3 linked regions of the Mytilus edulis genome follow. The protein of the gene in region 1 purifies or fractionates together with the protein of each later gene. This does not show direct contact. Links are inferred from orthologs where the notes say so. Each region holds a gene or a part of one and is shown in the gene's direction. Other genes may lie near its edges.

Region 1 (11,282 bases):
TCGAGAGGTGAAAACACAACCAGAATTTGCAACACGCTTATTCCTAGGACATTTGAAAACTGGGTGTATCTCCTGACAAGGGGAAGAAACTCTTACATTAGAAATTGTAGATGCAAGGTATGCAAATGTGTGACTATTAAAAGTTTACTGAGTAGGGGTATATAAATTGTGCATGGCAAATATTATTTAGTGTATATATTTTTGAAATTGGCAAACGTTAACTAAATTCATATGTATGACTGCTTTAACAAATGAGGGCAATTCTAATACATTGTTTTATGATAAGTTCGTATCAATGTCAAAAATATTTATTAGCCAATTACAAATATGCAGTACATTCTCTAACAATAAATATCTATCAGTGCATGACCTATTTCAGCTAAAATGAAAGAAAGTGTTACAAATATATTAAATCTCATATATTATGATCATATTATATACTAATTTGAATTCATTAGTAATAATAATAACAAAACTGCAACTAGATTAAATCACCCACATTTAAATGTAATTGCCACCCCGACTTTGTTCAAGAGATTGATCAATAAAATGTGTAAAGTTTATATATATAAATTTGACATGCATCATTATAATGTTTTGCTTCAATTAGATAAACCGGGTGTGTTTTCATACTGGATGAAGACATGCACCTCTAGAAAATGTATCCCGGTGACATATAAGCAAATGCGACGGTGAGCATGGGCATCGGCTTAATTGAATCAATGTAACTTACTCTATGACTTATTTGATTAAATCATCTTTCTGTAGGTTCTTGAAGAGGGTGATGCATCGACGCCAAGGAGTTGTAAACTGTCAAACAGTTCGAAAGAGTGTTACCGTAAGACCGCCATATGCAGAAGAGCACAAGGCGGCACGTGTGAATGGAAGAATGATGAACAATGTTCATAGCTGTACAATACATGTGTATAGTCAGTCTTTTTGTTTATTTTGAGTTTGGTTTTTTTAATAAAAATTTATGAATGACGAAAGATTCTATCGTTATTCTCAATAAACCATATAATTTACATAGGTATAGAAAAGATACACATGATAGATATATAGTTGTTAGTCGACGAAATTTGACCTGCACATTAAATGTCGATTTCAATACACTTTACGCGTGTTTATAACACTCTGAGTAATTTTTCTCTTTTGAATTCTTGTACATTTTGTAATCCTGGAACCTTTTGCAGAAGAGAAGTGAAAAACGAACTGACAATGCCATTACAAAAATGATAAACACCTGAAAAACAAACAACAGCATACAAAACACAAAATAGAAAATTAAAGATTGAGCAATACGAAAAGTGCTCCTACAGGGTAAGCATTGGCAGATCCATGGGGTGTCCAGGGGTTTGAACCCCCCTTTTTAATAACGATCATTGAATTTGAATGGGGACATATTGTTGGACCCCCCCCCCTTTTATCCTGGGTTGGGAACCCCCTTTTTAAAATAGCTCGATCCGTCCCTTGTAAGCATGTCCTACTTACCATGTGGCACCCATATAGCTTACTATCTGGAATTTGATTTGCTTATTAAAGAAGGTAGTATGGTGACATTCAGTTTTGTTTTTCGCCCTTTGGACTTTTGTGAAAGTTTGTCTCTTATTGGTAATTAAACCACACCATCTTGTTGTTATATTCACGTGATACAATCAAGACCAAATTCAGAAGCAGACAATACAAATCAAAATATATCTGGAACCTTGTGGTGTATAAATGTCAGTATAATAAAACCCACTTAAAGGAAGGCGAAAGATAACAAACGGATATTCAAACTCATTAGTCGAAAATAAACTGGCATTGTCATAGCTTAAAAATAAAATACAAACAGACAATTACAGTACACAAAACATAGCATAGACAACTTTAGACTAAGAAACACGAACCCAATCAAAACTTGGTTATCTATTACGAATCATGCTAATAACTACTGAGAACGGAACAAGTTATCCGTTGTTATTCTAAACAGAAAATTTAGTTTTCTAACGATGAACGAGACATAAAAACTGTCGCTTTAAAAAAATCAATTCAAACGTTTTTATTTTGAACAAATTAACTGTATGGGTTTTAAAACTGAAACACTTATTTAAAAACTGTTCATAAGGATGTCCTGTGAATACTGTGACAAAGTCTGTGCTAATTATTTTACAAAATAATAGAAATTGATCTTTTGTGAAAACGTTAATGACAGGGCTGTAAATTATCTGGCCTTTAAGGGAAGGCAGTTGAATGTCAATCCATTTTGGACCAATTTTATGCACAAAATGATCTTTTCGTGCATTTTCCCCTGTATGCAATTTACCTCCCCAGAACACACAACTTGTTACATTTCGATAAATAAGCGACTGGACTATTTATTGAAAACAGTTATTAACCAGAGCTAGATTATGCGAGTCGGTTTGTCTTTCATATGTAGCAATACTCAAGCCATTGGATCATTTCGCATGGCGCTTGCCTTCAACCTTACACAAAATATATAAAAGATTGCTTACAAGGGACTGATATATTGCATGTAGTTGTTTCTTCAAAACCATAAAAACAGAGAACGTTTACAGCTGCTTTTAAACTATACCGACCATTAGGCTCTGTAAGTTTTTATACTTTGGATATAGATCTGACTTCAGTTTCAAGTCAGTATTAATCCAATTTGAATGAAGGAAAACAACCAAGGTTATATATTTAATTATTAAATGATATGAGCAAATAAGCCCTAATACGGATAAATCAGCATGTGCAATACTGAAAACGTTCCACTGTCGATATAAACCAAGATTTAATATTGCTCTTCGAACAGAGCCAATACAGAAAAAAATAGGGGGAAAAGCCGTATTAGCCACGTTCACTTCTGGTTTTCAATTTTCTAACGCCATTACTTAACTTTATAATATTTTTTAAATTAAAATCATAAAATAAACAGGTTAAATGATGTGCAATGTTTTGTAACGTCTTAAAGTTTTGAAACGGGAAAAACAGGGTCAATACAAAAAAAAGCTGGGGAAAAGCCGTATTGGTCCATGGGCTAATACGGGAAGTTCATTTCCGGTTTTTAATTTTCTTATAATCATTTAATAAAAGTGTTATGAACTGGCTGTTTCTGTATTGGTACTGGTATAGATTTTCGGTCAGCTGTATTGGCCCACGACCCTACGGGTCTCTAGGCCAATACGGCAAACCTTGAATCTATACCAATGCCAATACAGAAACAGAAACAGCCAGTTAATAACACTATAATATATACTTATAGAGAAGGGTATGCGCCATCAAACTTGTCAGTTACTATTTATTCATGTCTACATATTGCCATTGTTGTTTAAAGCGTTTCATATAAATTCACTATAGTTGTATTGATTTTAGTTTGTTGTCTTAATTAAAATAAGAGATGTGGTATTTTTTGCGAATGAACCAGCTATCCAAAAGCCGGAGTGCAAAGGAGGAAGATATATAAAATAATATAGGTTACCGTAAGGTCATCAAAATGAGAAAAACTCACATTAGAAGTAAGCTATAAAAGGCCCTGATATGAAAAATGTGGAATAATTCAAAACAAGAAGACTTACAGATTATAATTATAGTAACAAACAAATGATTTACTAAAAACAAGTATGAAGGACCCAAATCAATAAAATATGCTAAACTCACAGGCCATTGACATGGGATGGACACATAAAGAAATTAACAGAGATTTCGATATATTTGATTATTCTTAATCTACAGTTTAGAAAGTATAAAAATTTTACATGACAAACATATATAGAAAAAATGATCTTTGATAAGGCTGACTAATTGTTTAGTAAAAAACATCAAAGCTATGAGACTGTGATTTAATACATATTTGAAATAAAACACATCTATAACCTTTCCGAAAAAATACACATATACCGTTGCAAACTTTCAACAGGTGCTATCCAGGACTTTGATTGGTGTCTGCCACTTGAGCGTTAATGACCGTTATTGTACAACGAAAGAGAAATAAACTTTTGGTTTTTAGTTACATCCCCATTACCTCCCTTTTACCGGAACTTGAAAACAGTGTTGACATCAAACACGTGCTGCAGTGTTTTAGAAGACTAAAAATGGTTGGAGAGAAGAAAAAGAAGGTACGTATGAGCATAGAGTCAATATTTAGGTTTGTTTGTCTAAATAAAAAAAAGATGTTAGAGCGTGTGCGTCTAAAACGGTAACATAGAAGAAAGTACAGATCTTGTTAAAATGCTGAGACAGAAAGGTTAAGAAAAAAACATCAGAAGATTTAAAACTTTATTTGATGACAATCATAGTGTACCATCTATGGCATCATCAGTTAAACACAATCATTCCTAATAAAATTGTCATGTCATATGTTAATTTCATTATGCATTTATATATGTGACACCCTTAACAAAAGATTAATTACCTATATTGTTTATTTAAAAAAAGCACAATACTGGTACAATACTGGTACAAATTTTTTATACCAGTATTGTGGACAATACTGGTATACCAGTATTGGGATCACCAACTACAGGAGATCCAGGTTTTATACTTATAATGTGGATATAAATATAAAACTAAGTAGATGTGGTATATACATTGTATGATTGTCAATGAGACAACTCTTCAATAAAAAAGGGCATAGGACATTTGAGCGAAAAAGAAAAAAGCACATAGGGTCATTTGAGCGCCGACTTCATAGGACATTTGAGCGCCGGGATATTAACCTTACCTGAGTTTTCAGACAGGACATTTGAGCGAAATTTTCCCTGATAATTTTACACGAATTAAGATTTTTTTTTAAAAGTAAGAAAAAAAAGTAAGATTTAGTTATAAATATTTTTTATTTTATTTCACACCCGAGTAATTCGACCGGTTCTGGCTGGTTTATGTAAGTGAAATCCTAAGTTGATCTCTATTTACCAATCAATTCTACTATAATTCATTGGCTATGCAAATTTTCTTTGTTCTAAAATTCTTATATATATATCTATTAAGTGAAATGTCCCTTGGCACTTGAAATCTTAATACTAATAATACATGTACGTGTTAAAATGGATATTATTTTGACCGAGACTAATAAGGGAAAAAGAAGCCTTGTTTGTGACAGTTTCCGATATAGAGTGGACAAAACACTAAAAGGAGTTGCCGAGTTTTATGTTTTATGACAGTGCTTTGTTTTTAGTGCTTTGTTTACAATTAAAAGATGTTTTAATCTTTTTGTTGGTAAACTCCTGTTTTATGACTGTGCTTTGTTTTTAGTGCTTTGTTTTTTACAATTAAAATATGTTTTAATCTTTTTGTTGGTAAACTCCTCATTTAATGAACTATATTCGTAAGAAAATGTGGTATGATTGCCAATAAGACAATTCTCTATCCAAGACTTGTTTTCGCTCAAATGTCCTACGCTTATTCTTATTTTCGCTCAAATGTCCTAAAATTTAGGCGCTCAAATGTCCTATACTTTGGCGCTCAAACGTCCTTTTTTTTTCTCGCTCAAATGTCCTGTCAATGCGCTCAAATGTCCATTGCTTTGAGCCATGTTACCTGGGATCTGTAAGGTATCAAGTTGTTCCATCCCAAAACCTGTCCAGCCCCAAGACTATCTGGCCCCATTATTTGCCAAAGTCAATTTGTCCTACATTGATCGACCCCAGAATTATTAAATAATGAATAAATTAAAATAACTAGTTCATAAAATTTGGTAACATATATTTGAATCCTGATAGATGAAATTTGTAAAAAAAAGTGGTAACAAGTCTTTTTGATTGGTGCATATTTAAGAGATTTTCTTAAGATTACAAAAAAATAAATTTATCATGTTTATAAATTACACAACAATTATTTTTTTTATAAATTACGCAAACATAAATTATGTTTAATAGTGCATTTGCCAGCGACTTATGGGATTGTGAATGCATAGTTTTAATAAATAGTTTGGTTCTCCTTTGAATGAAATGAGTTTTTTAACCCTTTCAACGCTACACAAAAAAATAGAAAAATGGCTGCTGCTGCTGCAATTTTTTGGTGTTCATTCATTAGAACAGTATATTCTTTTTCAGGCTGCTGTATCTTTTTTATTATATGAGATACAGAGAAAGTTATTGCATGAAAAATGCTCAGGAGAGCATGAACTGTAATGTAAGGGAATTATTTTAAAGGGGCACTAGCTACGATATATATAAAAAAATAAAGTATGATTTTTTTTAGATCAATCATTAATCAAATTGGAATAATGAAATAATAATTTGCTTTTAGCAATCAATTTCCTTTAATTTTGTTGAAATAAGCGATTAAACATAATTTTTGACTGATTCACTTGCAAGTGAAAACGTCATCATCATTCTAACCGGTATTCATGTGAACTTTAAGTTAACCCCTAGCTAGAGATTGACAACGCATGCATTGTACGTGTACTGGTTATTTAAAGAAAAAGAATGTCAACAATGAAAGTGAAACTACAGTAAATCATTTGATTACTAATTCGATGCACATAAAATCATTCTTATATGGTTAAAAACAATGAGAAACATCTATTTTTAATCTATAAAATAAAATCAAACAGACCTATAAAAATGCAATTGCACGTGTTGGTTTAATCTATTCGTATCTTTATTTTTGTTTACATCGCTTATATGGTCATCTGAGGTCAAATCGATAGTTAATTAGATGGCGTCTGGACTAAAATACACACGAAACGAACCTATATATTATCTACCCCATGCTCTGTAAACTGTTTATTTTAGACTTTTTATAGTTTGGATAAATGTTTTACATTGTTATAAACCAAATATGAGAATTTGAGTCAAATCGGTTACAATGAATTTGACAGCTAGTGCCCCTTTAATGAAATTTTTATCAGGTTACCTGCATTTTCAGGTAATTAACTACAGTGATTTTCCAACCCTCATTTTGGGGCCGAATTTCGGCCCCATTCCCAAAGAGAAATATGCTCTTTTTTTCCCAATTTTCAGCTCTAAAATTCCCAATCGTATATGGACATCGTCGCGAGATTTTGTTATTGTCGTATCTCTATATCGTGTATTATTTTGTTGACAAATCTCTGAGCGTTCGGGGTATTTCGGGAGTTATCATTATCATTCACTTAAGACGATGATTGGTTTGCAATCTTTTTTGGATTGCATTGCAATCTACGATATTCTGGTCACGTTTGCGCTTGAAACATCCGAATGAATAATTCAATGACAAAGCAAAAAAATGAGACATAATGTAAACAAAATGAACGTAGATCATGTCTCATAATTCCAAATATTACACAAAGAAGCTAAAGGCGGCGGACGGTAGTAAATGCCGGAAGCTGGAAGCTTTTGGATTCAAAAAGTCGTTTCTACTTCCTTCTGATGAAACAAGTGAAAGAAGGAAAAGACCGACTCTCAGATACAGAACTGGAACAACTAGTTGACATGTTTAAAAATAAACATGAAGGAAAACTTGGAATTTTAAATAAAACTAAAAAATAAATGCTTCAGATTTCAAATGTGTCTTTTTAGAATTTCTATAGATTCTCATCATTATAAATAGAATCAGAAGGGATAGGTTGAATTTTACCTTTCAAGAGTAAAGTTACAAAGCTTGAGTGCATGCAAATGTGTCCTCAGACACATTCAACTTTTATTTTTAATCCTTTTCCTTAAAAAGATAGCTTATTTTGTAGGCAATTCATGCAGTTAATCCTTCTCAGAATGCAGGATTTTGCACCTAATTTTCAAAATTTTCTTGGGGGGCATGCCCCCAAACCCCCCAAGCAAGGCGCACACGACTTATGCCGTGTGCCCTCCGTCGTAAAGACCAATCATATTTTTCCCAATTGCATGGGCCCCAGGAACCTTCCCCTAAACACCAGGAAAATCACTGTAACAGGTAAAAGGTGTAATTTATTACATTTGTATTGAATTTTGAATAAAAACTACTTTTAGTCTTCATTTATTTTGTTGTTTTATCTGCCATATGACAAAGAAGACACCAGTTGCTCGATTCCGTAGCGTATTGCACCATACACAATGTTTTATGTAATCGTGGCACAAAGAAATGGATATGTCCTAAAAAATTTCAGTCAACCTCCGTTCTCCCCCCTTTTTCTACGTCTCGTAATGATCGATCAAATCATATTTCCCACACGAATTAAATGTTATAATTACATTGAGATAAAAAGAAACCTTTTAACTAATCCTCGTTAGTTTCGCCATAGAAATGCTGAAATATTTCCATATTTACAGCTTCGTTTCCGATTTCCGCCATTTGCATTTGTCAAAATATTTTTATTTTCCTTCTACTGCATGATTTTACAATAAAAATTGCCAGGATTTCAGTCGCAAATGAGACTTTGTATATCCTTGATTCAAACGAGTAAAAAATAAGGGAGAACCCAAATGAAAACAGAATGGTTTAAGAGTCCTTATGAAAAATCCTTTGTCATTGCAGCATATGCTGCGAATATCAGTGGGAAATGGCGTACGTCATCGCGGCATATGCCGTGTATAGCGTTGAAAGGGTTAATGCAGAGAAGGACAATTGAATTGAGTTTTCTGTTGTTTCAATTGCGTAATTACAAAAATATGCAGCTTCTCTGGAGTATAAGTCATGTAAGTCATTTTAGGTGTGGTCACTTTAATTTTTTTGCTATAGACTTGATAGATGTCAATTATTTTGAAAGTTTTCCTGTTTCACCAGTCACCACTATCTCTTATCTTAAGCGTGCTACATGTATTTATTGTTTAAATATGTATAGGACAGTCAGGGGTACTAATTGTACAAGTAATTTTTATTTACTTGAAGAAGTAAATATTAATATACCTATATAAGTAAATTTGTAGGATACTTATACAAGTGTATTTTATTTACTTGTTTAGGTAAACAAAAAATTGGGCTGAGTTATGTCCCTTTTAAAAAAGACATTCTGATTTTTTTACTTATAATAGTAAAAAAGTTATCCTATCTTCTTTTCTTGAATTCTTAGGACTTCTTTGTTCAAATAGAATTTTAATTATTTGTCCTTCATGTCCTTTTCAGATTTCTTTACTACATGTACTAATCATGTAAGTGTTATTTCATGGACAATGAAAATCTCATTTGTCTGTAATCCTCAGAACACAAGCCCCCATGGTGCAATTTTTAAGGCCTTGGCAAATACTTAAGATCTTTGCCCAATCAGTTTCTTTGTTGAATTAATGAGATGAAACATTGTACTCCAATAGAAAATTATGAGCTCACATGAAAACAATTGTTAAAGGCATGTTTTTACATCTCAAAACTTACAAATGACTTACTTATACAAGTAAATTTTTGAGAAAATTAAGGGTGGATTATTCAAACGTTATAATCAAGTAATACTGTTATACATGTTATACAGTGTTATATAAGTATATTTTATTTACATCTTTAAGTAAATAAAGATTACTTGTACAAGAACAAATGTAGTACTCCTGACTGTAGGATTGGAGATTGGAAGCATGGTAACTACTAAGTGTATTTCATAAACCTAGATTACATGTATGTAGTAATGCCGACACGTGGAATAGTCAATTGATTAACATGTATTATTTAATTTCAGTATGAAAGTGGTTCAGCAACAGCCTACATGTCAAGGAATCAAGCTATTAAAAAGTTACAACTCAACTTAGCAGATTTTAGGTATGTGTGTAATTTACAGGTTTGGATTTATAAAAAAAGAAGATGTGATATGATTGCCAATGAGACAACTCTCCACAATAGACTAAAATAACACAGAAATTAACAATTATAGGTCACGGTACGGCCTTCAACAATGAGCAATGCCCATACTGTATAGTCAGCTATAAATGCCCCCAAAATGACAATGTAAACCAATTCAAACGAGAAAACTAACGGCCTTTTTTTATGTAAAAATGTTTTTTTCTGTTGTAAAATGTATATAATGAAAATTGTACTTATAAATGTGATGCTTCATTATTGCTTTTCAGGATATACCTTCAGGAAAACTTAAACCCTGAAAATTAAGGCCAAGGATTAAAAAGTACACGAGAATCTCTTAAACCAACAAAAATCAGCATAACAAATTCTCTTAAACCAACAAAAATCAACATAACAACATGGCCTCTCATCTACTCATGATTTATATAGAGGATATTGAAGATAAGGGGGGAAATCAACACAAACATGCAATTAAAAATTTCAGGAAAAATCCGGTTTGAAACATGTTGCATTCTGTAATAATGCAAATGACACATTTTTGTTTCCCTTTAATTTAAAAAAACTTAATTACTCAAACCATTTCCATTGCTACATTTTTTAAAAACACTTCAATAAAAATAATGAAAAACATATGAAAGTTCATACTGCTAGCGATCTTTGATTAAACAATATGAATGATCATGATGATGCTAGTTGTCAGAAGAATGGCTAATGTACTTCTACCACTCTGACCACCTAAACTATATGGCCCACCTAATATCGAAAAATATAAACAATATTGGTAGAAAAAGAAACCCAACATGTCATGCATTATGAAATGATCATGTGTAAAAGACTGATTGCAATCAGGAATTTGTTTTAATTAAATGATCCCCATTTATATAAACATGATAACAATCCACTGAAAGATGGGGAATTCTAAAAAAAGACAGACAAATCTTAATTATCATGATTATATAGAAGCATAATGAAAATTAGCGAGCCGAAAATATAAAAAAAATATGTAACACAGCAACAAATGATAACCACTGAATTACAAAACCCCCTACTTGATACAATAGATAATTATGTTTATTTCAGGCGGTTATGTATACTGAAAGGTATCTACCCACATGAACCCCGACACAAGAAGAGAGTAGGTAAAGGCAGTACAGCACCAAAGACATACTACTTCGCTAAAGATATAAACTATATATCTCATGAACCAATCATAAACAAGTTCAGAGAATTCAAGGTAAATCTATATATCACATGAACCACTCATAAACAAGTTCAGAGAATTCAAGGTAAATCTAAATATCACATGAACCAATCATAAACAAGTTAAGAGAATTCAAGTTAAATCTAAATATCACATGAACCAATCATAAACAAGTTAAGAGAATTCAAGGTAAATCTATATATCACATGAACCAATCATAAACAATTTCAGAGGGTTCAATGTAAATCTATATATCACATGAACCAATCATAAACAATTTCAGAGGGTTCAATGTAAATCTATACATCACATGAACCAATCATAAACAATTTCAGAGGGTTCAAGGTAAATATATATATATATATATATATATATATATCACATGAACATATCAAATGTAAAGGTATAAATAATCAAC
Region 2 (11,282 bases), on another chromosome or scaffold:
TCAAGCCGAGGACACCTTCAGTGTCGCTTTTCCTTTTTCTGCAAGAGCCTGTTTTTAACTAGAGATCCTTGATGATTATCGTTACTAGGTTAATGTAATTGAGAAACATCACCCGTTGAGATGCTGAGTTTTATCCAGGACTGAAGAATAGTTTAAAAGGAATGATGACAAGTTATAGAAATCAAGGTTGAGACAGAACAACAAATGACTATTATATTTATATATATGTATAAAAAAAAATCAGTGTCGAAATTTTAGTGAGGTTTCGCCGTTTCAGAATCTAATGCATTCTGGGTAATATTTTCAAAAGTGTACACCAAAGCGTGGTGATTGGTTTATAACGTCCCAAACAATTAAAATTCAGCCAATGACGTGACGTTATTTTCATTTTGGGGTACGAACAATGAAATTACCCATAGTGCTTTAGATTCTGAAATGGCCTCACTTGCCTCAAGGGTAGCTATACGGCCTTGCCCTTACCTGAGATAGTGGTGTAATAGTACAACATTATCATGAGAAAGAACTAAAAAAAAACAGTTGAATCAGACTAAAGGTAGATTCATGGTATACCACCATCTTGGATTGTACAATCGCAGTACACAATCGGTCCAGTTCTCTGCTATAATCTGCAAATTTTGAGTCAGATTTGCAATTAATTGGTTAGACTATTCATTTATATATTGAAAGACAAATTAGTGATTGATTGCATTGTCCAAGATGTTTAAACAAATATCAAATATTAGTGTCTTTTAGAATCAATTATTAAACTTAGCAATCTAAGAGGAGATAACTCTTTTTTGTAATAAAATAATACTGGACTGATTTACTTGAAAAATAGCACTGTGACCCATACTTTTTATTATATTTTTGCCAAAAAAGCATTGTAAAATCTTTATTTTTGCAAAGTCATGATAAGAAAATTATATCTAAGGAAATATATATACCAATGACATACCTTAACTCATCAGATGGATACAAATAGAAACCCATTTAGGCTTCTTTTTTATTGAAAATAAGGAAATAGAAATTCAACGAAAATACACTTCGCCATCCATTGAAAAGTCCTCTTTACTTACTGTGACATCATAAAATTTTATCTATATCAAAGACCATCAAAAAACAAAACATGAAGATGCCAAAAATGCACTTTCTAAAATTGAAACATTTTAAAATGCTTTGGGAGCAATCATTTGACTTTAAGGAAGGAGGGTTATGAATTTTTGTCTGAGCTAAAAAAAAACACGCACTTTTTGTTTTGTTTTTTTTTGTTTTACGCTATCTACCTTTTATTTTAATTTAATACTGTATTAAAGATATGAGGGAAACCTGGATTTAGAATATGTTTTGGTGCGTTATCTGCTTAGTTATTGAGGTACAAGTCCCCTTGTTGAATCCTTAACTCATCTAGGTGATAGTACTTGATTTCGAGATTTTTTCCTTGTTTGAACCAAACACATTCAATATATGTATTTATATAAAAAAAGAAGATGTGGTATGATTGCCAATGAGACAACTGTCCACAAGAGACCAAAATGACACAGACATTAACAACTATAGGTCACCGTACGGCCTTCAACAATGAGCAAGGCAAATTTATGTATGTATCAGCATTGGAATCTTTTTACAGATTTCTAAAAACTCGTACAGCTAGGATACCAGGCTTATGTGTTACTGTGGGCATCAGTTGTACTCATTGGATATCAGACTTGTCTCTTAATTGTTTTGAATACCATGTATGATCAATGTCATGAAGGGTTTCTCTGAATTTTATTTGTATGGTGAGTTTGATAACTTGATGAGATGGCCGTTGCGTACGCCCTTGTGATATTTTTGCTTTGAATAATTTTAAAACTGCATAGTTGCATGTGCTGTGGACGTTTAGCCAAGTGGGCTTGTTTTGAACAATTCTGATATGGATAGCAAAGGGTGAATGTCCTTTTTTTGAATTTACAAATTTGGGTTTCGCGTTTAAGCTCTCTGTAGGAATTTACAATGTGGGAACGATTATTACAGATACCGGTGGACAGCAAACGAGTTCGAAAAAAGACATGCACAAGGAGACGTGATTTATTAGAGACACATATCGTTTTGAGTATAATTGAAAATATAGAAAAGGACACTTATTGTTGGTTAAATTGGATTTATTGGGGTTAACATTAGATTGTTGGTGATTTGGATTTTCGCCTATCTCACGACCCCCTATAATGGGTATTCGAATATTGAAGGTTTTTTTCTTCTCAATATTGTCCCATATGTATTTCGATACAAAATTATCACCCATTTATATATTTCTCAGTAAGAGTTAGACATCCAGAGACATGTCACATGCTTGAGATCGTAGAGACATGTCACATATTTGAGATCATAGAGACATGTTACATGCTTGAGATCGTAATTGCATTTGTACAGACATTTTTCCATATGAAATACTACCTCAATAATGTATTTGACATATAAAAAGTTAACCATTCCAGCGACATGTCAGTGTGTTTTTAGTGTTTATATATAAAGTCCCCCTCCAAAAACAAAATAAGACAAAATAACAACTATGGAAACATACGATACAGCCGAAAAGGGCTGCCACTAAAAGTGCACAACCAAGGCTTCTATAAAAGAGTACGGAATCAATAGGTGTTGATAGGAATACATACACCATAGGAATACATACACCATAGGAATACATACACCATAGGAATACATACACCATCGGAATACATACACCATAGGAATACATACACCATCGGAATACATACACCATCGGAATACATACACCATAGGAATACATACACCATAGGAATACATACACCATAGGAATACATACACCATAGAAATACATACACCATAGGAATACATACACCATAGGAATACATACACCATAGGAATACAGACACCATAGGAATACATACACCATAGGAATACATACACCATCGGAATACATACACCATAGGAATACATGAATACACCATAAGAATACATACACCATAGGAATACATACACCATTCGACTGTCACAGTACCTGCTCTTTGGTCGGGTTGTTGTCTCTTTGACATTTGATATTCCCCATTTCCATTCTCAATTTTAACATATCGAAGTTCATTATTGTCGAAAACTAGTAATATATGTGTCAAAGAGAACATTTACAGTTTTACTGAATCGTATCGAAGTATTTCTACTAGCATGTTTAACCTTTTCCTTACAGAAAGATGCTTTATATTTATATGCAAGTTGCAGCAGATCGAGTCATATCATTTATTCAACAACAAAATCTATTGCCGAGATGATCTTCTATTTTTCAAAATCTATATGAGTATCAATTTTGTATTCATGCTGGGACCAAAGATTTGTATACTATAGAAGCTTTACGATACAATTCCTGCTGAAACTAAAAGGCCTACAGTGAATTATTACTTTTTCTGGAGAAAAAAAATGAAATGAAAATTCGATGAAATTGCATCAAGGCATCTTATGAAAAGTATATAAAAATTATTTAAGGCGGATCCCTACAGATATAGCAAATTTTTTTTCACCATTGAATTTTTCTTAAAATTTGCATACATATACTATGCAATGGCCTCTATGAAAATTTGAGTTAAAAATAGTATGTCACCAGACTCGTTTCCATGGTAACGGTCACCAAAGTTGGCACATCACGTGTATGCATAAATACATACCTGATGTAGAAACTCTGGATTTTTTTTTAAGCCTTTGAAAGTATTTTGAAAGGTTTGTTCTTCATTTATTACAAAATTATTATTTAAAATGTAAATAAAACACAAATAATGGCAGTTTTATTCATTTTCATTGATTTCGGCTCTAATTTCATCAACACTGCTCCACAAAAAAAACACAGATTTTGTTAAAAATTTCTATTTTTCTTAAATTTCCAAAAAAATGGTCCAATGAATATTTTTTTAAATTTGACATAAGATGGTCATAACAATGAGCTTTAAAAAGAAATAAAAAAAAATATGGGTCACCAGACTATTTTTTGCCCGAAAAACGTTTTTGTGACCCCTAACGAAACAGTGATCAACAGCAGTTTTTTTATATCTTTCATCATCGGTGTGACATATGTTGTCATATCCTTTGTTAAACTAACACAGAATAATACAGTTTCACAAGGCAATCAAATGAGAACAATTTTTTGGTTTCTATGAACAACGGTTACCATGGCAACAGGACATGAAGTTGGAAAATTCAAGTTTTTGCATTGTTCTGATGTGCAAGATTAACAACCTAACAGACAAGATATTGTATAAAAAAAAGAGAAAATGTAAAAACTTTATTCTAAAGTAGAGCAAGGATTTGTATAGTATCACTATACAAATCCTTGCGTAGAGTATAACTTGATTGTTATAGAAATCTCAGGTACAAATAATTTTAAAAAGAACTACAAAATTCAATTTTCAATTTTATAGAGTGGGGTGCCCATATTCGCCGGGGACACAATTTCACCGTTATATGATTTTGGGGTGTAAAAACTTCAAAGGATGGCTGAAATGAAGAAATATGCCGGTGAATTATATTTTTATAACAAACATGATTATTTTTTAATCTGAGACAAAATTTTGGCAATTACCGCAAAGGACCGAAAAATAGACAACGATTTTCGGCTGATTTCCTGAATGAAAAACATGGTTTCAAAGAAGCATTTCAAAGTAATTCTTTGACTTGATTGCCCTAAATTTCAGTTCATTACACCTTTGAAATGTCTGCTATTCATCTATAATGACATTGATTTGATAAACATTGTTTAAAGTTATTTGGTTTTAAATAGATGTGTAAAAACGGCGAATATGTGTCCCCCATCGACAAAACATCAAGAAATTTCAAACACCCTTTAGTCTCACTTTTAAGATGATTATTTTCAAACAAACACGTTTTCAAGCTTAAAAATATTTTGCATTGGAAGTAATCTTCATATAGAAATATCAGTTTACTTCAAAAACATATAGACCGGAACATAAACTGTAGAAAACATCGAAAGATATGGCGAAAATGAGCACCCCACTCTACAAATAATTTTAAAAAGAACTACAAAATTCAATTTTCAATTTTAATAAAATTGAAAATTGAATTTTGTAGTTCTTTTTAAAATTATTTGTACCTGAGATTTCTAACAACCAAGTATTTATATAGTGAACACATATATAAGATCGTATAACCAGAGACATACAACAGTAATCACAGGTTGTACGAAATTTTATCATTTATTTTGAGGAAAGACGGTAATAATACCACTCGTTCGGAACTTCTCTGACGTTATTAGTTTATGAAAGATTTCCGACTATCTCCCCACATGTTGATAAAATGGAAACAAACAACATACCACATGTCCAAGCCAGATTCTTTACAAAACAACCTCAGTAATATGTTTAATCAATTTATTAGTTAAAATTATTTTCCTAATGTCAAACCTAAAGAGGGTGTACTCCAGAAGTACCCGTTTAAAACCGATAATTCGATTGATTTTCCAAGCTCAGCATCAAGATAAGTCAGATATTAGTCAAACAAATTTATTTTCTTCTTTATAACTGTTAGGATGCCAAGAAAATATCATCACAATTTCTCAGGAGAGTTTTTCCCTGAACAACACCTATCAGCAAGGGCAGTTCTTTCAGAAAGCAGAAATCAGAAACTCATTTTAATTTATGCTCCTTTCAAGAGCATACATAGAAACTCCCCTTGAAATATGTTTTTAATTTACAGAGGGTTCCCAAAAATAGAGCATTGCACCATTTGAAAATTGCATTTTACTTTGATTTTAAGCTTAGAATACTAGAAAAGAAGGTTAAAAGGAAGGACTGTTTGCAATGTATCTTGGGTACATCGAATGGCATTAGTTCCCCCTTTAATAACATAAATAAAGTCCCATGGAAATTATGCATTAAAATCTTCATTGTAATGTGTAGTATGAAAAAAATGCCGACAAGATTCCAGAGACAACAGTTTGGGGTATTGTGTCATTTTAACTAGATATATTGCACATTTGACCTCAAAATTTTCTTTGATATCTTGGATTTCCAATTTAATTCAAGATAATACTAGATTTATTTCACTTGACTGGGCGGGGTTTAAGAAGTTTGCTCATTTAAGACCAGTCCATCTATGGACAGGAGTTTTGGGACTCATCAATGAAGTGTCCAGTTATTTTTCGCATACCACACACTCAGTTCTTTAGTACAAAATGTATATGTGTTTGATGACACTGATAGGTGATTAGAATTCAATACTAATTATAACGGCAATCATCCTTATCACACACATCTTTAAATAGATTGTCCTTATGCAAATTAAAACATAAGCTCCGCCTGATCAGTTGAAATAACATTGGTAAAACAACTTACCGGTAATGAAGATCATGTTTTTTGTTGGCTCTTACAGTTTTATGATTTTTAGAACCAAGATAATGTCTGAAAGATCTGGACCTAGATTTGTTTTTTTAACAATATTGTTTTATAAATGTTTTATGAGTTGAAATACCAGAGATAATCGGTTGATAACTATTTTCCTGAACAACAACAATTAAACATTGTACTAGTGTAAGAAGTCACATACCTGCCAACTTTTCAAAATGACCATGGGGTTTTTGCGTGCAAGGTGGCTCATATAGTCCTACAAAACCTTCAAGGGGGCCTTCAAATACATTTTGATGTTGGTTTTGGGCTTTTGCATACTTTTAAAAGCCTTTAGCTATTGTAAAAGTCATTGTTTTGTTTAAAATTGTTAACAAATTTGCTCTTTCAAAATTTCCATTTGGGAGCTTCCATGGGGGAAATCCCCCACAAATAGTGACAGTTGGCAGGAAAACCCTTCTAAGTTGAGAAGCTTGAGATGGAGAATTTTTAACTAAGAGATAAAAAAATTGAAAAATAGAGATACATTAAACTTAGCATAAGATGTGAACTTTTTATTTGTTTTCTTTGTTGATTACTACATGTACCAGTGTTTATCTATTGGTAATCAGTGTTTTATATTTATCAGGATTTACATGTTATTTCTTTTTCTTTGTCAGCAGATAGTAAAATCATTAAAGAAAGAATGTACCATAATATTTAGTCAACAGTATTGTTGCATTAAATTATTAGTCGCTGAATGAAAAAAGTCAGAATAAACCAACAAAGAAATCCATTTCCACTTCATTTTGAATTTTAATATTTTTTAGGTTTTCAGTTCCATCTGCACCATTTTCAGTTCAAGCACAAGTTGGAACATGTGACCTGAGTTCATTAATAAACAGTCTATTGAATGGTTTGTATGCTTTTCAACCTTAAAATATAGAGCATAGTTGATCTTTAAAAGGAGTAAAGTAAATTCTGATGAAAAAGTTTAAAAGTGCTTAATATAATTTTTTTTGTTTTGCTTCTAAGTTAGTGCAGAAAAAATATTTGTATTGAATAAGAAGAGCAGCTAAATTGAGAGTATGTTAACATTGAATATGTGCATGTATGTAACATAGATTCTAATGCAATTTGGATGTTACAATTTTTTTCATTGGCTAAAAATTGCCGTCAAATCCACAGTTGACCAGGCGTAACTAAGGAGGGACCGCCATTTTGAATTGATTGAATCAACAAATGTTCGTTTACTTCTATATAATCGAAAATAAAAACAACACCTACCTCGAATTTGCCGTTTTAATGTAATTTTATCCGAATTTGAAGCGTACAGGTAATGTAATAAACTCCAGTTTGAAAGTTTTTATTTATACGATGCACGTTAAGCCATGACGTCTTTGTGCCAAAATCATTCATGAAGTTTCGCAGATTTTTTTCTTTTTGTCAAATTTAGACATTTTGTCAAGTTTTATTGTATTTTTTTCTTTTTGTAATGCATTAGAATCGGAATAACAGTACTGTAGTTGAAGAGTTGCCACCGTCAATTTTGATTTGACGGTCGCAAATCTCCGTTTTACTGTCTCCGCTACGCGTCGCCAGTAAAACTGCATTTGCGACCATCAAATCTACAATTGACGGTGGCAACTCTTCAACTACAGTACTGTTATTCCTTAAATCTACCTTCATTTAAATATATCCTGTAACTTTGATAATCACAAAATAAAATTGCATGGAAGTGGTCTGAAAGGGCTGAATTCGAAATAAAGTATCTGGGAAAATAAGTTGGTTTACAGTATAATAATATTATATAACTTGAGTTGATATCAAGCCATATCCAGTTCTCAATTGTTATAAGACCTTTAAGGTACCCAACACCTTTACTAAAATTAATTTGACTCGTTTAATTTTCATAAAATTTTGACAAAGTATTTACTTTGACCCTTTAACAAAAATATAAAAATTTCAAAATATTTGAACCAAACGTTTTATCAGGAAAATTACACTGGTTATATAGCAGTTTGACAAACACACATTTTGATCATTGAGAAGCTTAATATTCCCTTAACAACACAACGTAATTAAAACGTTTAGCTGATTCTACAGAGTTATCTCCCTGTAGTGTTAGGTACCACCTTAATTAAATTATTTTTTAATTAAATAATTTTGTATTGATCGTTTTCAATTTCAGAGGGCGATGGTGAGAAGACAAATGTTGATTTTGATTTTTTAATTGATGGAGAATTTCTGCGACTAAACTTAGATAAGCATCTAGAAAACAAAGGCATATCAACAGTAAGTGTTTTTAAGACATTTTAGTACAAGTACAGAATGAGTGCCACTGGTCCAGGTTTATATATCTATTAAATGCCTTTTAAAGAAAAATATACGTACACTTCAGGCTCAAACAATCATAAAATTGGTTTATGTTCATTGTTCACTTTGGAAATAGACGACTGATTGAGATCAAAAGACAATTTGAATAAATCTTTGATTATTGTTGAATTAATAATATTGACTATGATGGAGAAAATGCTAAATAAGTTTTTTGTTTTCTGCTGAGAACCTGTCTGTACAGGAATTTTTACCTAGAAATCAACACAACAAAACAGATTAAATTTGACAAATACCAGAGCTGACCATAAGGTGTTTTTATATAGAAATTGGATCCTCTGTTTTATAAACTGACATGTATTGGATATGGGGAACAAGGTGCTACACTATTGGTTATTGCTGTATCCATTTTAATGTGTTTTGATTACTAAATAATGTTTTCTGATAAAAATCCTTTCTATAAATAATTGTTTTTAAAAAAAAATATCACAACTCATTCATGGTGATTTTTGGCTTATATTCACACACATATACATCCCTTTTAAAACAATTTATTATTTCTATATTAAGGAGTCATTGGTTGATATAGAATACATTGAAAAACAACAAGCTCCAGAACCAGAAGACTCACTAGTACATGATGACTGGGTCAGTTGTATACAGGGCTGTAAAGATTGGTAAGTATAAATGTAACCATGGAAATACAACAGTGTCTATGGTAAGGTATCAGGACTGTTAATCTTTGAGGAATTCCTGCTTCCTGCCTACTGAAGGCCAACTAAACCAATAAAAAAAAAATCCTGTTTCAACTTTTCAAATAAATAAAACTTGAAAAAAAATCTGAATTCTCAGTATTTGGCCATCCACATAGCAAGGGTTAAGAAGATTGAAAAATGAGATCAGTATTGTATTGCATGTGAAATTTAAATGGTTCTGTTTTATTTAGTTGCACATTTTGCTATACTGTGAAAGTACTTTAATTCGTGGGTATCAATTTTCGTGGTTTGAGGAACATTTACGTGGGTTTTTAAATTTGTGGATTTAAGTTTTCTATGAAAAAAAAATTTGTAAAATTGAAGCCATTAGAAACAAAGGTTACAAGTTGTCTGGATTGAAGGAAATGCAAAGTAAACATTGACCTGTCTAAATTGTTGTGACCCGGCACACTAATTAATCCTAGATAGAGTGATCAACAGATTAAAGATCAAATTAAAGGTGTTGATTAGGTCATTACCATGTCAGCTAAAGAAAACAATTACATAAACAAATGCTTTAAGCGTATCTTGAATTGTAAAATATTTTTTATCAAAAGCCAGCCCAGCATGAAATTTTTATTTCCTGTATGTACGAGAGTTATGAGTAATCATAGCATAACAAAACCAGAAATCTGTCTTTCATCGATCAAAATATTGTTTTATTTGATTTAAAAGATAAAAAATTGTACAGTTAAGGTTTTAAAGATTAAATGGATCTAATCCTGCCTGCAGTTGTAGTTCATAGTGCATTTGCCTTGTGACAACTATAATAGTATTCTTAGATTTGGCGATGTTCAATATGTTCTCTAGATCATATCAGAAGTGAAACCTACATGGGGATATTTCCATATCTTGATTTTGACAATGGTTGGGTTTTTTTTCATTGGACACTTAAATTCGTGAATAAAGTCATCCACGAAAACCACGAAAATTGGTTCCCCATGAACAAAAGTACTTTCACAGTAAAAATAACTTAAAACGCTTGAATGTTGGTGAGAAGTTTTAAAGATTTCTTTTAAAAAAAAGTATATTTGTAAAAACTACATCTTTTTCCTGACCAGGTATAGCCACAGGCTGATCTAGATTTTGAAAAGGGGGGATTGGGAAGCTAGTTTTGGGGCTTTCCAATCCCCCTTTTTCAAAATCTAGATCAGCCCGTGGCTATACCAGGTCAGGAAAAAGATGTTTATTGCCCTGTTATATTTTTAATCATCAATGATGACTAGGCAATCAGTAATATCCATCCATGTTATACTTTTAAGAAAATTAAGAATACATCAAGTCATATGTATGTAAAGCAGGAAGAAATAAAAGTTTTTTTTTTAGCCAATTTTTTTTTTTTGAGATCTTTTTAATTGGTCGTAGAACTAAACGATCTCTTCCATAGTTAAATTGGTTAAAGTAGATATGTGACCTGTGTGATATTGCTTATTTTAAATTGTCACCCTATAGTATGCATTCTTTGAATTTCAGCATTTTGTCTGGGTGCTATGACAACACAGTTAGACTCTGGTCAGTTAAAGGTAGTCCATTTTTGACGATCCCAGGCCACTCAGCACCTGTCAAATGTGTTCAATGGATAACAGATGGTAAGAATATGATATAATTTACCATCACAAATATGGTATCTATAACAATTCATACTTAATAAGGCAGCTATTACGGTAAGTAAAGGGGTTAAATAACAAATGAGTAGTTGGTATTAGATTAATGTAAAAAGTTCACTATTGAACAGAGTTCGCGAAATCTTTTTTTCCCTGGTGGTCCTTGAAGAAAATCTGCAGGTCCTCAATATTAATTCCATTCAAAAAAACTAAAATTTAGTCAGTCCTTAGCCAAATTTTGGTGGTAAAATCCT
Region 3 (11,282 bases), on another chromosome or scaffold:
TGAATGTTGTTTCCATACTTGCCCCAACTGTTCAGGGTTTCGACTTCTGTGATCGTATAAAGCTGCGCCCTGCGGAGCACCTGGTTTGCGGATACTGGACATGTTTGCATCTCTCCAGTCTGTTGGTAGTTCACCTGTGTCTAGCGAGCATTGCATTATGATTTGTAGAAAGGTCGCTAGTTTTTCAGCAGTCCTTTAGTATGCGGTTTGGGATATTTTCAGGTCCAGATGCTTTGTATTGATTGGTGTTTTTTTGTTGTTTTCCTGAAGTCACTTTTGGACAATCGTTATTGGTTTTTATTGATTTCTACTCGCATTCTTGTTGTTGGTAAGCTAGTGTCTGATGTTGTTGGGAAGACGGACTAGAATTGTTCTAGAAGGAGTTCGTGTTTTCCTTTACTGTCACTGATGAGGTTAGTCCACTTTTTTAATAGTGCTATTCCTGGCGTTTAAATTCAATAAACTTCCGAAAAGGCTTTGTGTCTTTGATGTTTAGGCTCTCAAAGATGTTTTGGTTTATAAACTCATGTCCTGCTTTCCTGAGTTGTTTCTTGCATTCCTTAATTTTTGGAAAGACGTATAGTTTGACCATTTGCTTTTTTCTGACTTGTTTGTAAATTCTGTTTTTTTCTTTTGCATTTTTCTCTTTTTGTGTTTGATCCATGGGGTGTTGTTTCCCAAACTTATGTGTTTTTTGGAATGTTAGTTCTCTGCTTTTTTCTTTTGCATTCAAGTTTCTCTTTTAGTGTTTGACCCATGGGGTGTTGTTCCCCAAACTAATGTTTTTTTTTGGAATGTAAGTGTTCATGGTGTTTTGGAGCTGACTTTTGAAGGTGTCCCAAAGTTGACGTACCTCAGTTGCTTTTTTTTTTTTTTTTATCTTTTCTAGGATGTTTTAAGATCTATGCTAATTTGGTCTAGATTCAATCTACATTCATTTCTGTCAGCAACATTTAGGTACCTAGGGTAATGTTTTCCATAGTTCAGTAGACTTCCAACAGAATTTTTGAAACTTTGGCAGAAACTCTTTTTTGTTTTCTTATTTTGAGGCAAACTTGAAAATATTTTTGTCTCGCCTGCAACGAATTATCTAGTATGCTAGACATAGGTATTCAGAACTATCCGACAGCGACGGCATTAACTATTTGTATCATGAAAGCCTTATATTTCAGAAGGTAGAAGATGATTCATATCTTGTATGCAGATAGCTTATGTTACGAAGTTTCCGTCTGTCATGATGTCTTCGGTTTTTGACCTCATTTTCATGGTTCAGCGATTGCTTGAAAAAAAAATAGAGCTTTTTTTATGTGAATTTCTCACTTATTATGAGGAATAAGATAACCGTAATTGGTTTTTGGGTTCCTTGCGACCTATACATGTCGTCAGAGATGGTTCTATTCGAATGACCATGCTCTTATTTCATGGATTAGTGATCAAGGTTAGAGTTTCGTTTTTCAAATGCAAAAAGCATTATGTCAACTATATGTGGTGAATGGAATGACTTTTATGGGTACATGTCAGTCTGGCAGGTTTACCTTTACCTTAATTCCATGGTTCATTGGTCAATGTTAAGTTATTGTGGTATGGCCGTTTTTTCAAGTACTATAAGGAAGCTACCATTTGATTTTTAGGAGGACTAGTATGAAAAAAATTGTCCTGCATTTTTCATTTTTCACTCTATTTGGTCCTGCCTTTTTTTTTTTTTTTTACATAAAATGTCATCCTTCATTGATTTGGCCAATTGCTGATTTTTCCTTTTTTTTTTTATATATTTCATCGACCCCCCACCCCCCACCCCCCACACACACACAACAACCCACCCCTTTGCACTAAATATGTCAACTATAAGGATTTTGGATGATTATAAATTGTACATGTCTGTCTGGAAGGTATCATCTGACCTTGAACTAATTTTCATTGTTTATACTCAATGGAACGTTAATATTTAGTGTGTTGGTCTGGGTTTTTTTTCGTGAATTACTATAAACAATAGGTGAACCTAATCATCTGGTACATATTTCCCTTATTTGTGTATTAGCATATGGATTTCTATGACTTTTACTATAAGGTTCCATACTTCAAGAGGAAAGATGAGATCAAATTTAAGGGTAATGGTCCAAACCGATTTATAAAAGGGGTGATCATGAAAAGCGACCAAAAACATGAATTTTCTGATTTGTGAGTATAATTCTATTCATTCCTATTTAATTGTGTCACAAGGTGTTATACCATTAAGGTTCATGTGGACCCTATGGCTAAAATGGCCGTATTTTCACCTCAAAATTTTCTCTGAGTACAGACAAACCTGCGCATCTGTAAAAAAATTCAGGCATAGCATGCCCTAGATAAATGACTTTCAAGTATGTTTTATGTTTTAGAAAAATAAAAACTTACCAGGATTTTGCTGTGCACTTTTTTTTATTCCTCCAGAAGGTGCCAAAATAAACTAAGTTGGGAAACAGGTTTGAGAACTTCCCCACAGGTAAAAATTAAAGTGAGCGTTTTTAATTGACATGGACATTAGAGGACAATAGATACCTGACAATAATTGGTTATTTAAACTGTGTACCTGAGTGGACCATATCAAAGTAAACTCAACTGATTGTTAATTTTATCATCTTCTGCAGAGACGAAAAAAAGTGTACGGCAAAATTCAGTTAAGTTATGAATTTTCTAAATCATACAATGCATTTGAATTCTATTTATCTAGGGCATGCTATGCCTTAAAACTTTTCCAGATGCACAGGTTTGCCTATACTCAGAGAAAATTTTGAGGTGAAAATACGGCCATTTTAGACATAGGGTCCACATGAACCTTAAATGAAATTAAAATTGATTTTAAATTACTTTTGTTAATAAGGACCAAAACATATACTTTGAATAAATTAGTTTGTTTTTAAGCAATTTAAATGGGATTTACTTCAAAAGTCTTGAATTCTTGGAAGCGTTTTCATGCTGAATCTAATTGGGCATTTGAAATTCGGATTTAAGAATTTGATTTTGAAATTATTCATATTAAGGAGCAACCATTTGCTTTCAAGGGTGGGAATCATTTTTCTTCTAAGTCCGCAAAAAAAAAAATCCCCAATAATTTATGTAATTTTTCCACGCTTTCAATCAAATTATTTTTTCTCTCGAAATTTAACACCCGTGCATAAATCGAATTTAGAATGGTTTTTTTTTTGTTATCTACTTGAGCATATTTTTTTAATCAAATTGGGGACCAGAATATCTTTTTAGGAAAAACCATCAGCCCCCTTTGAAGTTAAATGGACATTGGTTGTTCCCTTAAGGTCCAAAGAGTCCAAAGTTAAACTTTTATATGTTAAAATAGGGTATGGGCCTTGCTCATTGTTGAAAGCCACGTACCGTACGGTGACCGATATTTGTAAATTTTTGTGTCAGTTGGTCTCTTGTGAAGAGTTTCATCATTGGCAATAAGACCACATGATCTTTTTTTATATATTTGTTTGATTTCTTTAAAAATTAGAATGTTTGCTGGATGTGCGTCCGTTCATCTGTCTCGCTTCAGGTTAAAGTTTTTGGTCGAGGTAGTTTTTGATGAAGTTGAAGTCCAATCAACTTAAAATCAAACTTAGTGTAAATGTTCCTATGATAAGATCTTTCTAATGTTAATGCCAAACCAGAGCTTTTATACCCATTTTACGGTCCATTGAACATAAAAATGATACTGCGGATGGGGCATGTACTAGTAACACATTCTTGTTTTTTTTTTTTTTTTTTGAGGCATGTCCTCAAATTGGTTTAATACATATGCATTAAGGTCCAAAGGGTTCAAAATACATTCTATCTTTGATTTAAAAAAATGAATTCTTGGTGTTCTTTGATATGCTGAATATTAAATTTATCGTGATTTACATTTTTTGACGGATTTGGGAATGATTGGTCCACATTAAGGTCCAAAGAGTCCAAAACTAAATTTTAAAAATAGCTTGCAGTAAAGAAATATGAAACATATCTAATTTTAGAGAACTATTTTGTTGTTTACATCTTATTGATTTGTTATTGTTCGTTAAAGATCGTTATAGCCTCATTGCATGCATTTTTATTTTTTCCATAGATGTGATCCTGCAGTCTGTAGTTTTGTTACTAGCATATATTAAAGATTATGACTGAAAACTATTGTTTCCACTCAGGTCATTAAATATTGCCGTTCACTTGATATTTTTATAGATTGCATTTTCCAATCAATGACTGATTTTGGTCTGTCATTCCATTTAACTTTAAAGGGGGGGTATAGCATGATTAATTTCTGAGTCAGTTTGTTGTGGAAACTGAATTTTTTTTTTGTATTTTTGTCATCGAATTGGGGATAAAAAAAAAAGAATTACCCTCCTTGAATTTAATTTAATGGTTCCCCAATGCCCCAATGGTTGCCCGAAGTTAGTGTAGTGAGTTTGTTAAAGTCGAGATTTTTGCCAGCGAACAAGACACGGAAAAGAATATTATCAAACCGAGAACGGTCTGTATGTTAATGTTTATTAAAATCTGTATCTGAGAAACGATTATAATGAATGAAAAACAAGTTCTTTGTAAAAAATCAAAATCTACATTGAAAATTTCGAAATGAAAATGAAAGGAGTAAGTTTCACGTGTTAATTCACAAAATTGACCAGCATGTCATTTGGCGTCCGTCATCCGCTTCTAAACTCAAGACTTTTAATTAGCCCCCGAAAAACACTGTCGTTTGGTCTAACTAAGTCCATCGCTTTCCATCTATCTATATAACTTTCCGTCAACAAGTGGCCTGTAACATGGTAAGATCGTTGTGGGGATCATATTATGGAAGGATCCTTTCCTTTTTAGCCCTCCCTATTTTGGTACACTCTTAAAACTGATTTACACATCAATCCTGTACATGGTTTGGCAAAGTTTGGTGCAATGTTTAACACAATTAAAATTAAAAAACTTTATGTCTTCATCAAAAATTATATCATTGACCTGACGAAATCTAGAAATGAATTAAAATAAGTAAAAGAAAGAGCATAAAAATAGTTAGCAAACTATAGTTACAGATAAATAATATGAGGCTGCATTACGTGTGAAAGGGGACAAAGTCCATATCAATTACTATTTTTTAATTCTAACATATTTTAATGTAGTCCAAATAATTATGAAGTCTGGCAAGGCTAATTTTAATATTTTTCTGGGACACCTTCCAACGACGTCATAACACTGAAGCCATTTTTTCCACCTGGAGTTTGAGAGCAAGTTTTGGATGTAAAAAATTAGGTTGCAAAGTCCGCTCAATATTTGCTCTCAAAGTCCAGACATAAAAAATGGTTTCAGCGTTATGACGTCATAGGAAGGTGTCCCAGAAAAAAAATGAAATAGCCTTGCCAGACGTCATAATTATTTGGACTGATTTTAATGTTTGAAATGAAACGTAAATGACATAACGTTCCCGATGTTTTCTCTGCTGTTGCTCAAAGTCTTATGACAAATGAGACTGGAAAAAAGACAGAGATTTCTGCCCAAATGTGGGAAAATAAAAAAGTTTTGAGTACATTGAAAATTATATATTTAAAAATATTTTTTTTTATTGATTTTTCTTCTGTTATAGGGGAAATCGTCCCCTTATTAAGAGAAAAAAGTAACAAAAGCTATTACTGCGCCGTTCTTTGAGATCATGATGTTATTATTAATGGACATGGAGACCCCTGTGGCCACCTTTTAGCATCCACTATTTCGTGTTGAGGAATAGGCTTTTTATGCGTGTTGAAGGCCTTACTTTGACATATATAATGGTTTACTTTTATAAATTGTTATTTGGATGGAGAGTTGTCTCATTGGCACTCACACCACATCTTCCTATACATTGCTATATCTACATGTATTAATGAATAGAACAATATTAACATCTGGGCTGTTTTTGTATTAGTCTCTGGTTTACTTTTTAATCATTTTCAGGACAAGCACAAGAAATTACAAGTAACACGAAAAATAAATAAAGGGAAATACAAAGCACACACATCAAACCAAACAAAAGAAAACAAAAAAACAACATCAAAGCACGAAACACATGTGAAATAAAAAGGCTGAATTTGTTGCACGTAAAATCTCTTTAGCACCCTATATCACAATGCCCATGATACCAGCAGGGTCCCTGAAATGCTAGAAAATCTAAAATGGCAAACTTTACAAGAATGCAGGTTAAACATCTTAAAAACCAGACTCCCAATGTTCCTCACAGTCTTCAACAATAAAATTGCAATACCATCGAAGATAAACTCAGAAAAAGCCAGTCTAAAACAAGATCCACCCATCAGTTAACCATTGTTAACAGAAAGACAACTTCAATGTAACTAAGACAGCTTTAACATGTTTAAATTTTCATTCTTCAGCCAAACAATCAAAGATCGGAATAAATTAACACTGGATACCTTAAACAACTTAAAGGATGCACTCCCTCATGAAGTGCACCTTCAAACATTCTCTCACCTAAACTAAATATGCTTATTGTTACATCTTATTATAAAAAATATATATATATATAAAAACTGTAAAAATCAAAACTCAAAAAATTATAAATTTCATAAATAAATAAAAGAAAAATTGAAATTAGCTCAAAAAGAACTCATACAGGCATGCCCTGGAAATTAATCCTATAAAGGTTGATGGTATTCTGTTACTAATGAAGAAGGAAAAGAACTGATATATAACGGACTGCCAATGATGGTCTATACATTGTACTTATTTTAAAAGCTTTCTTACACAGTTTTTGAAGAAAAAAAATAAACTTGTAGGTTCAATCATTTATATTATGTTGTGAAAAATGTCTTGAAGGAAAAGAAATATTACATCTAGATTTCGCTAATTTCCAATAACATGAATGTCCACAGGTATTTGTCTTGATAACAGTAAGATGTATCTTCAATTCGTTTAATAATTTTAAAAGCTTGTATCATATAATCTCTTCACCTTTTGTTAAGATGAAAGTTTAAGTTCTTTTAATCTTTCTTCAATTCATACCCTAAATGTCTTGCATGTATATCCAGAATTCTACTGCATTAATATCTTTCCTCAAATGTGGATACTATATTGTGTTTCCATATTCTATGTGTGGTTGTACTAATGCAACTATATTTGGTGTATGGAAATATTTTATATCATTTTCATACTTCATTGCTCAGTTTTAAGTTTTATGTTTTGGCCTGATTTCATTAAACTATAATCAAAAGGTCAAATATATAAGGTGTAATGAATGATTGTAAGGTGCATAAGTCTGTCTGGTAGGTATCATCTGACCTTGACCTATTTTATTGGTCAATGTTAAGTTTTCTAGTAAAGTTTGTTTCTTAGATAATATAAGTATTATAGATGTTTACTATTATTTAGTGTTGTCAACGGTTAACTGGCTAACCGGTTAACCGTTCGAATGACTGAATACCAAAACCACTAAACGGTTAAACAGTCTTTTTAGCTCACCTGGCCCGAAGGGCCAAGTGAGCTTTTCCCATCACTTGGCGTCCGTCGTCCGTCGTCATCGTCGTCCGTCGTCTGTCGTCCGTCGTCCGTCGTCGTTAACTTTTACAAAAATCTTCTCCTCTGACACTACTGAGCCAAATTAAACCAAACTTGGTTACAATCATCATTGGGGTATCTAGTTTAAAAAATGTGTGGCGTGACCCGGCCAACCAACCAAGATGGCCGCCATGGCTAAAAATAGAACATAGGGGTAAAATGCAGTTTTTGGCTTATAACTCAAAAACCAAAGCATTTAGAGCAAATCTGACATGGGGTAATATTGTTTATCAGGTCAAGATCTATCTGCCCTCAAATTTTCAAATGAATGCGACAACCCGATATTGGGTTGCTGCCCCTGAACTGGTAATTTTTGGGAATTTTTGCTGTTTTTGGCTATTATCTTGAATATTATTATAGATAGAGATAAACTGTAAACAGCAATAATGTTCAGCAAAATAAGATTTACAAATAAGTCAACATGACTAAAATGATCAGTTGACCCCTGAAGGAGTTATTGACCTTTATAGTCAATTTTTAACCATTTTTTCGTAAATCTTAGTACACTGTGTCTAAACCACACCGGCAGAATTTGATCGGACTCGATGGTATCTAACGTCCGGTACAATGACGGAACATCAATAGACAGAAGAAAGATAGGTTTCTCCTTATTTTCTTATTTTTTTAATGATATCGAAGAATATATATACATATACAACTATTTTCTATTGTGAGATGCAATATTTTCTACAACCGTTCTATATTAACGGAGAAATAAGTCAAAATGCATGTCAAAATGACGAATTGAGTGAACCTTGCCTCGAAATTGTTTAATTTCTCTTTAAATTGTTCACATTGTACGGAAAGACAGGTACGGGAAGATAGATATTGACACGGAGATTGCAAATATAGTTATTATGAGCATCTCAATAATTGTAACTCTGTGTATGGAACGAAAGAAATGGGTCATGCTAAAATGGAACTGGCCGGTTTCGTCAATGTATACAACCCGGTTTCGTCATAAATTTCAAAATGCATAACCCGGTTTGGTCAAATAAAAAAAATCATAATCGCATTACATTATAATTGATTATTTAATTTCAGAGTTCAAAAGGAGTTTTGTGGGTCGTTCGAAAACAAGTTCGTTCACCGGACAGCGGCTTATTATTTATATGAGTCTCAGATTAAAATAAATAATAAGCAAATTCCTACTCTTATAGAACTCAAATATTTTAATTTTACTTTGCATTCCGAACTTTTTTAACAGCATATTGAGATTAAAGCTCTTTAAATATGCGTTTTCTATATGAGTTATGGGAAAATATGTTGAACATGTTTAAACTTGAAATTAAAGGTTACGGGTCTTAAAAATAGAAACACACAATTGATATGTGATTTTCTCGCACAAAAGAATGGACACCTTTATAAGTAATCTAATCATTCCATGTATGTAATCTTTTCTACCATCGTTAAAAAATAAATCTTCTTAAGGATAAACGTTGATGACAAATGTATATGCATGCATAATCGACATAGAATGTAGGATTACAACTACCATGCATTAAAATAAAATGTATTTATCACTAATTGTAACTATACTGCTATGTACAAATTAGTATAATAGTCTCAGGTCATCGATAAAATTCAATAATAATTATTTTGTTAACATTATTAAAAAAAACGAGTCTGTACTGTCGCCATTGTGTTATGATGATCGTACACTGACGTTGGTCAATATATTTTGACAATGTATACGGACAGACGGATTCAGTTTATTTCAAAGTAGGCGATTTCGAACAACTTGTACATACCGCCGAGCGTAGCGAGTCGAACAATATTTTGATTATTTTTTGCTTTACAAAATCGTTAAATACAGGAATCAATATAGTTTTGGCAACCGAAGGTGGGTTCGGGGCGTGCAACCTATACGTCATCTAGATTCGCCACTTATCTTATAAAGTGTATAACGAATTAAAATATTGTAAGAAATGAGAAAACAGGGACACCCGGGAAATCGGATTATGTTTATTATAATAAATGCCGAATATCAAGTTCTTTTTATCGATTTCTATACATTTTTCTCAAATATATATAAAAGTTATATAGGAAAATGATAAGGCAGACAAATATACAAATAAATCGACTTGGCCGATATCCTAATAAAACTTATTGACCTTTTATTACGAATTTTTTTTCATTTCTTTGCGTTTTTACACGCCCATCCCAATTTTGACAGGACGTATTATTGTATACACCCGTCTGTCCATCTGTCCTTCCATCCGTCCGTTCCTTCATCTATCAGTCATTTGGTCCGTCCGTCCGTCCGTCCGTCTAGCTATCCGTCTATCTTTCTGTCCAGCGTAAACATGTCGCACCGTAACTTGAGAACAGCTTATCTAGTTTTCATGAAACTTAACAAAGTTATTTCTTGAAATGGTCAAACGATTTGTAAACCTTTTAGTGAAAATCAAATTAAATCTTTTTGAGTTACAGAACTTTGTAAGTAAAACAGGAGTGTTTTTTTTAACATGTCGCGCCATATCTCAATATGGTTAATCATTATTGCATCAAACTTTACACACTTCTTAGTAATATAAATCTTAACTTCTGCATACTTTAAGGTGATGTTTTAAATTTTGTTTTTAAGCGTTAATTAGGTTTTTTTTGTAAAAAAAAAAGGGGGGTCACATACTGCGATGTATCTCAAAACCTATTTAAAAAAAAATATCATAATGTTAATGTTATAAAAATAATTAGATATCAGTGTTTGCTATTGAGTATTTATATTCCATTTAAAATTAGTTTGAAGATCAGTGAAATAACGGATACGACTTTCATTAGGAAAATGTGTAGTACTATAATTACCTATGTAAATAAATGTAAACACGCCAAGTTTACTTTATAATGCATATATATTTAAATTCTTTCGAAAGACAATGTTCAGATCCGTGTTAACGTTGCTTTTCATAAATTGTTGGTTTAAAAAAAATATAAAAAAACCGGGTGACATATATAGACGAAACCGGGTGTTGTGTAGTAAACAACAATGACGAAACCGGTGTATTTTTATTTGACATGGCCCATTTCTTTCGTTCCATACACATAAATACAAGTATTGAGATGCTCATAATGACTAGTTTTGCAATCTCTGTGTCAGTATCTATCTTCCCGTACCTTTCTTTCCGTACAATGTGAACAATTTAAAGAGAAATTAAACAATTTCGAGGCAAGGTTCACTCAATTCGTCATTTTGACATGCATTTTGACTTATTTCTCCGTTAATATAGAACGGTTGTAGAAAATATTGCATCTCACAATAGAAAATAGTTGTATATGTATATATATTCTTCGATATCATTAAAAAAATAAGAAAAAAAGGAGAAACCTATCTTTCTTCTGTCTATTGATGTTCCGTCATTGTGCCGGACGTTAGATACCATCGAGTCCGATCAAATTCTGCCGGTGTGGTTTAGACACAGTGTAGTAATCTTTTACAAAAATCTTCTTCTCTGAAACTACTGGGCCAAATTAAACTAAACTTGGCCACAATCATCATAGGGGTAACTTGTTTAAAAAATGTGTGGTGTGACCCGGCCAACCAACCAAGATGGCCGCCATGGCTAAAAATAGAACATAGGGGTAAAATGCTGTTTTTGGCTTATAACTCAAAAACCAAAGCATTTAGAGCAAATCTGACAATGGGTAAAATTGTTTATCAGGTCAAGATCTATCTGCCCTCAAATTTTCAGATGAATCGGACAACCCGTTGTTGGGTTGCTGCCCCTAAATTGGTAATT

Evidence for each region.
Region 2: the proteins of pescadillo homolog (region 1) and ribosome biogenesis protein wdr12-like purify together in Homo sapiens (co-immunoprecipitation; 7 studies listed by BioGRID and IntAct, counting the BioPlex papers as one, with this or other methods). This does not show direct contact. The link is inferred for Mytilus edulis from reciprocal best matches to the Homo sapiens genes PES1 and WDR12.
Region 3: the proteins of pescadillo homolog (region 1) and nucleolar complex protein 3 homolog purify together in Homo sapiens (affinity purification with mass spectrometry; 3 studies listed by BioGRID and IntAct, counting the BioPlex papers as one, with this or other methods). This does not show direct contact. The link is inferred for Mytilus edulis from reciprocal best matches to the Homo sapiens genes PES1 and NOC3L.

Annotation. Positions count from the first base shown.
Region 1 is NC_092349.1:84,177,815-84,189,096, forward strand, and holds the start of pescadillo homolog, read left to right. Parts: upstream 1-3,941; 5' UTR 3,942-3,944; coding exon 3,945-4,100; intron 4,101-9,544; coding exon 9,545-9,624; intron 9,625-10,743; coding exon 10,744-10,897; intron 10,898-10,904; exon of another isoform or gene 10,905-10,949; intron 10,950-11,032; exon of another isoform or gene 11,033-11,053; intron 11,054-11,282. Other genes in the region: metalloproteinase inhibitor 2-like, read left to right, coding at 1-117, 769-909. UniProt on the Homo sapiens protein: Component of the PeBoW complex, which is required for maturation of 28S and 5.8S ribosomal RNAs and formation of the 60S ribosome.
Region 2 is NC_092345.1:84,387,003-84,398,284, forward strand, and holds the start of ribosome biogenesis protein wdr12-like, read left to right. Parts: upstream 1-5,239; 5' UTR 5,240-5,310; coding exon 5,311-5,366; intron 5,367-7,165; coding exon 7,166-7,251; intron 7,252-8,526; coding exon 8,527-8,630; intron 8,631-9,239; coding exon 9,240-9,346; intron 9,347-10,897; coding exon 10,898-11,013; intron 11,014-11,282.
Region 3 is NC_092347.1:48,692,448-48,703,729, forward strand, and holds the start of nucleolar complex protein 3 homolog, read left to right. Parts: upstream 1-4,494; 5' UTR 4,495-4,587; coding exon 4,588-4,602; intron 4,603-4,604; exon of another isoform or gene 4,605-4,775; coding exon of another isoform or gene 4,776-4,778; intron 4,779-11,282. UniProt on the Homo sapiens protein: May be required for adipogenesis.